Linked DNA regions of Callithrix jacchus. The protein of the gene in region 2 binds, or shares a complex with, the protein of the main gene of each other region. Links are inferred from orthologs where the notes say so. Each region holds a gene or a part of one and is shown on either strand. Other genes may lie near its edges. The genes, in order: CAPZA3 and CAPZB.

What was found.
Region 1: CAPZB (region 2) and CAPZA3 share a complex: the UniProt entries of both Homo sapiens proteins name them as parts of the WASH complex. The link is inferred for Callithrix jacchus from reciprocal best matches to the Homo sapiens genes CAPZB and CAPZA3.

The regions. Positions count from the first base shown.
Region 1 is NC_133510.1:4,738,275-4,741,393, forward strand, and holds CAPZA3 (F-actin-capping protein subunit alpha-3), read right to left. Parts: upstream 1,756-3,119; 5' UTR 1,613-1,755; coding exon 713-1,612; 3' UTR 673-712; downstream 1-672. Other genes in the region: PLCZ1 (1-phosphatidylinositol 4,5-bisphosphate phosphodiesterase zeta-1), read left to right, coding at 2,501-2,511. UniProt on the Homo sapiens protein: F-actin-capping proteins bind in a Ca(2+)-independent manner to the fast growing ends of actin filaments (barbed end) thereby blocking the exchange of subunits at these ends.
Region 2 is NC_133508.1:56,245,656-56,249,046, forward strand, and holds part of CAPZB (F-actin-capping protein subunit beta), read right to left. Parts: intron 3,155-3,391; coding exon 3,078-3,154; intron 1,745-3,077; coding exon 1,642-1,744; 3' UTR 1,632-1,641; intron 1-1,631. UniProt on the Homo sapiens protein: F-actin-capping proteins bind in a Ca(2+)-independent manner to the fast growing ends of actin filaments (barbed end) thereby blocking the exchange of subunits at these ends.

The DNA.
Region 1 (3,119 bases), on a different chromosome or scaffold from region 2:
CCAGTAAGCACTTCTGAGTGTTTCCAGTGATGACTTCCCAAAAGCTCAGCTGCAAAAGTTCGGGAAGTCAGGCTTGTCTAGTCTTGGAAGACCATGTTCGTTATCAGACAAGACAGAGATTTTGAGTAACCCCAATTCTTGAGGGGAGGGAAGTAGAAAGGAAGAGTAGCCAAATGTGTTAATAGTCCTTCATCTGAGCTAGATTTTTGGTATCTGTTGGTTTCATGGAAAATCCAAACCTAACGTCAGTTATTGAAATTCATCCTCTTGTGGATGGTCCAGGACTAAACTGAGTGATGTAAAATATCATTGGTGGAGTGATATCCATTTGTATACCTTTTCAGTTCAAAACAAACTCAGAAGTCTCTCTCTTTCACACACACACACACACACACACACACACACACACACACGGCCTTAGCCCTGGCCACCCATATATTATTTCTGGAATCCCATATTCTGTAAAACTATTTTAGTTTCTAACAAATGTCTTGGTCTTTATGATGATCACTACTATGAAACACATTTCACTTTACACTTTCTTGCCTTATATATAAATATTTCCCAAGTAAAATCACTTGTAACACGTTCCTTATTTAAACGTGCATTGGCTAAGTGAGAAACATCTCTACAGATTGCTTAATAGTAGGAAAATAACTATTCCCCAGAATCATAAATGAGTCAGATCGAGATCGTTACCAGGAGCAGTTCTTTATATTATCCAGTTGCACAGCACACTTCTTGAATAAATGACATATCCTAATTTAGGATACATCACCAGATTCAAGTCAGAGAGTATCCTCTGCCAGTCAATAAGAGTGCGGGTCACCGGAAGATCCCTTCGTAGAATTCTTCTCAGGGTTTCGTTGGATAACTCCCGTAATTCTTCCAAGACTGCAGCTTGAAATTTGTTCTCTTGCTCTTCCACAAGCCTTGCAAAACTCAGAGCCAGTTGAGCTTGGTTAACTATTTCCAAGCTTTCTTTCAGGTCCTTGGATATTTCAATATGAAGGTTGACACACCTGAAGAAGTGAGCTCGCACATATATTCTTCCTGTTACTTGAGTTAGGAATGGGTTAACTTGGAAAATCCATGTGGATTTCCAAAGTCCATTCCAGCACTCTCCCGTTTCGTAGTTGTGGTCTTCAATGCAAGCTATCAAGTACTCCTTACTTTGGACAGTTTTTCTCAGCACGTTGCAGTTTCCTTTCGGATAGTGGTCGTTCACATACAGTTTTAAGGCGCACAGCACGACGACTCTCAGGCATTCTGTCTCATTCCGAATGACACCATGGCTTCGGATGTCTTTCAGCTGATTTTGAAGCAGGTTATATTTGAAAGAAAGTTTGCTTTGGTAGTCAAAGAATCGGAAGTCACCCATTACATTGTGGTGAGACAAGAGTACTGGATTTCCGTCGATGCTGAGTGGTACAGAATATTTTTGGCAGTGTTGGTGGCCTGCACATTCACCTTGACGGTGCATGAGTTTTTCATCACGGATAAGCAGACAGAGATCATCAAAGGCATTTACAAATTCCCCCGGAGGTACCTGTATTAACAGTCTGCGAATGACTTTTTCCTTGTCCTTCCTGCTCAGCACGCTAAGTGCCATGATTCATTGCAACAGAAGCAAAGCTTCTGAAATAAAGAGTGTTCAAAGGATAAGAAAACATTCCATGAGACACTTTTCCCATCAAGGTGTTAACATTCAAGCTGAAGATGACTGTGCCCCCCCAGGAAAGCAGGCAGTCTGGCAAGCTCTGAGCCTCCTGGTGAGGTCATAAAGAATCTTTCTCTATGCAGTGGGGAACCTCTGATGATATCACAATGGGCATTCAGACCAAAAGAAAAAAATGACAGTCACCTGACAGTGTGCTGCCCAGCTAACCCGCTGTACCTATTTTGAAGATTTTAAGAACTGAGCCTCCTGAATAGTCTTCTTCAGAATGGTGCGTCTCTGTGTGCGTTACATGTTGTCAGGGATCTAGAGCAGCAGCCCAGTTTCCAGAGTGACAGCCCTTTCGAGCGTCAGGAGTCACAGTGGTGTTGATTTATACTCAGCCTCTCAGAGTAGCTGCCCAAACGCACTGGAAGCACATTATGATGAAAGGTTTGAGGGGTTAAAATAAAATAGTAAAATTAAATGAGATACAGTAGCAGTTCATGGAAAAATGCCAGACATCAGAGAAAGCTGTGTTTTCAAACAGTGGGTGTGGAGACAGTCAGAACTGAAGAAGCTGAAAAGTTTCCAGGGCAGGGTAATGCAGGTACCACATCTTGCATACTGTTTCTGTGGCTAAGTGTGAGCTAGCTTCAAAGAACAAAGGCAGCAGACCACTGTGTATTCTCTGCTTTCTCCCTAGAAAAGTGGTAACAGCCGATGAGTATCAAGAATTTATTTTCTGCAAAGGGACAAAGTTAATTGTATTTGGAACCCGTGACAGCACCTATTGGGAGAGACTTCTAAGCGAGGAGAAACGGCTCTACAGGTCATACAACTATGGAAACGAGATATCCATTGAAAGTTCCTCCTGCCCCTCTTCTCCTTTCTCCTAGTTATCCTCTGTACTTGATGCTGTTATTCTTTTCGAAGAGTCCTGAATTTAAATCCTCTTCATTGAAGTCGAACTGCTTGTTCCATGTCTGCTCTGAGCTTTTCTAAGTTTACCTACATTCTGGTATCTTTTTCTTACAAGGACATGAGCTTTGCTGTATTAAGTCATAACGATTCAGTTTAACGACATCTCGCAAATTTGCTCTAACAATCCTGAAACTTAGTTTTGCATGATTTGTACCCATACCTTTTATGATTTTAGTGATAATTGTCATTATGTCATTTCAGTCTTAGTATGGAGGTGTCCTAGTTTTTGTAGCTTATCTGTCTATGATAAGTAAATTTTTTGTTTTCTCTTTCATACCAGTATACACTCAGCATGGTATTTTTGATGCTTTTGGATGGTACTTAAAATGTCACTTTCTTGAGTGTGTGTGTAGCTGGGCATATGACTAATCTATTAATAATAATTTTATCAGTCATGGTTACTATTTATTGAACACTAAGTAGCAGCAACTATATTCAGTGACATATTAGGAATTCATCTAATGCTTCTACCTTCCTT
Region 2 (3,391 bases):
CTGGAAGCAAGCTGCACACAACCGAAAGAACTCCCATGAGAAATGCAGACATTTTGGTTTATGCTGGGGAAATACATGTTTCTAAGTATCTGCCCGGGACTATCCCTGGCTCTGCAGCGGCCAAAGCATCAGCCCCCATGGCCCTCAGGCTCCAAATCTCAGCCAATCCCCCAAGGGCTTCTTGCCAAGCTCTCAGCAGGAGGTCAACACGGCCAGTAGGAGATGCGAGGGTAAAGCAGCAGCGCACGGGACCCTGCACCTGGGTGGTCACCAGCTCTTCTGGGAAGGAAGAGCCAAGCACACTAGGTCTTGGCCGGACCCCACAAAGGAGAAAGTTCCAGAGCCAGAATCAAGTTAGACACAGGAAGTTAGAAGTGAAATGGTAGAGGGTGGAAGGAGCAGGGGGCTCATTTAAGGGGCAGAGCTTGGGAAGGTCATGGCCAAGCAACCTTGAATCAGCGCTTAGAGACAGTGCTCGACTCTGCGGGAGGGAGGAGCGGTCCTGAGCAGACCTGGTTGCCAGGGTTTCTATGCCAGGATGCCCCCAGTGGGCGACCAGGGAACTGCACCATCACAGTGTACTTTAAAAAGGGTCTTTTTCTCCATGCCATGATGGAAATGTCTGATGGCCCCATTACGAGGCTGACCAGAGAGTCTTGGACCTTAAGCTGGTACTCACAGACCAGACTGGTGCACTTAAGTCCCATGGCCTGGGAAAAGCAGCTTCACCTGGTTTTCTAAGTGCCTGACCCCACCTCCACCTTGGAAAGCCCACTGCACCCCTTCCGGGGTGGGCCTTCAATGCAGAGCCCCTGGACCTGGGCTCTGCAGCCCCAGCCGGCAGAGTTCCAAATGCCTTCGTTTTACAAACAAGGTTCCCTCCTGCTCTCCACGGATGCTGCCTCCTTCCCTGCATCTGGATCTGTCACAAGCTCAAGTCATGGTTCTTGGCCATTACCAACAAGCAAGGCTATTTTCCTTTCCATCAGTGTAACCTGTTTAAAGGAATAGCTGCAGCTCGTTAGGGCAGAAGGTTATGCTGGTCCTGGCCGCATCAGCTCTGGGCATCCAGGCAGCTTCAGCAGTGCGTCGGGGCTGGCCAGGGTGGAGTCCAACCCTGACTCTGCCCTCCAACCCCAGAAACTTAGAGATCAGAGGGTGAGGTCACCCCTTCCAAGTCAGCTAGCCCCAGACAGCCAATGCGGTGCTGAGCAGGGGTCTTATTTGGCTTGAGACCCCTGCACCAGCGTCAGAGGCTCCTCTGAAGCATTGGGGGTGGCGTGCAGGCAGACCCCCACTGGGGACAGTCAGGCCAGTGCACACAAGTGGCTGCTGCTGGAGAGGCAGCATCCATCCCTCTGCCTGGGCTTCTTCAGAAGCAAAAGCCAAATAAATCAGCTGTCTCCCCCACACCCAGCCTCCGCCCATAGTGCAAAGAACACACACGTGATTGGTGCCGTGTCACATGGGGCTGAGGCTCCACAGGAATGCGGCTGCTCACCGGCCGGGGGCACACGTGGGGGTTAGTGGTGGTTTAAATGGCTGCGCAGCAGCAGCCAGACCGGCAGGGTCTCAGCGGGTTGGTGAGTCCTGTTTAGTGGGGAGGGTCTCGCGGCTCTCAGGCAGGGTACCTGGATCGGCCTAATTATCAGGCTGGATGTAGATCTGGCGCTGGGTCAGCACTTGAGAGAGCTCCCTCTGCAACTGCTTAAACTTTTGGTTGTCAGGGATAGCATCAACAGATCTACAGAGAGTGTTCAAGATGAGTGGGGCGGGAGGGAAGAGAACGACGAGAACACAGGGAATGCAGGGGCCACAGCTGAGGAGGAAATTCAGGGAGACCCACGGGGCGGAAGGGGAGTGCCCTGGCGGCTTCGGGCTGTGGAGTGGCATCGCCGTGGGCAGTGGTCATGGTTTTCAGGGGCTTGCTACCACCACCCTGCAGGCTCTTCTGCTTGTCTCCCTCACTTCCCAGCCACTGCCTGGGAACTGTGCAGGTTGGCCAGGAGGGAAAGTGTGTTTGGTGTGGCTGGGCAGTGGCTGCAGGTGGCCGTCCTGACACCTGGGACCACGGGGCTCTGAACCTGCCACAGGTCATGAAACCAAGCCTCCCTGAGGTGGGCAGGAGATCAGGAAGACATTGGCCCAAGGAGGACACCGCCTGTTTTAAAACTGTGGAGCAGGCGACTGAAAGCTGTCACCCACCCCAATCCATGAGCCAGGGTCGCCCCAGAGCGGCATCCTGCCTTTCCTCCGGGCTGGGCTGTGAGATCTCTGCCATGGCAATAGGTGAGAGGGCTGGGCGCCAAGGGCACAGCACAGCCCGGACTCACACGGTGCTGCGCGACTGCAGAGCGTGCTCCAGATTCATCACCTCAGCTGACCCGCCTCCTCCATCAAACAAGGGCCTCTTCGAGGTGTGCCAGAGGCTTCGTAGCTCAGGATGACAGAGCTTAGGGGAGATCCTGGCCTCCTGACTCCAGGGCCAGTGCTCACTCCACAGCCGTCTTTACTGTCCCCACTGGGCTCTGGCCTCATGCAAGAGGCCTGCCTCTGGCTCTGTCCACCATGGACCTGGAGGGTCCAGAGAGCCCCGGCCTTTGTTCAGGCTGACACTGCAGAGCCAAGGGCACCAGGTGGGTGTGACGGTGCAGAACACTGGCCATTGCCAGCAGAGCACTGGCAGAGGACGTCAGAGAGGCTGGGGCCCCTGAGAAGGCCCAGGCTGAGGTCTCGAGGCTCCCCCAGGCCCAGGATGGAGGGGCTGGGCACATTCTTGCACGGGGACTAACAAACTGCAGGCCTGAGGAGGCTCTGGGGCGAGGGCACCAATGGCCGTTAGAGTGAATGTGCCCCAGAAAACCAACGGTGCAGGTAGGGACCGATAGCTGCTACTGAGGGTACAGATGGCACACCAGGACTTTACTTCCCCAGACTGGCATAACAATCCTAGAAGAGGGGTGCTGCAGGCTACAAACGAGGAAACCCGGGCCCAAGGCCACACAGCTAGGAACTGGCAGAGGCAGGGTTCAAATCCCTCTTTCTGCTTCTAAAGCTTGTGCCTTCTGGTACATTACCTCAGACCGTTGACAATATCCTTTGTTTTTCCAAAGTAGATCTCGTTCAGTGTACTTCTGATTTTATTTTCCATGTCCTGGAAGGGATGTGGCAAAATGGTCAGGAACCCCGGGCCCACATCCTCCCTCGGCCTGCCAGCCCTGCAGTCCCCAATGTGGCCGCTGGAGGGCGGCACAGGCCTGCTCTGGGACATGGGTGAGCGCGCTCCACCTGCAATCTGTGCTCCAGGCGCCTTCCCGTCCTCAGGCAGGGAGGAAGCCAATACCCAGGTACCGGCGGCCAACTCTGCCCATGCCTGGGAGCTGGTCTAAAC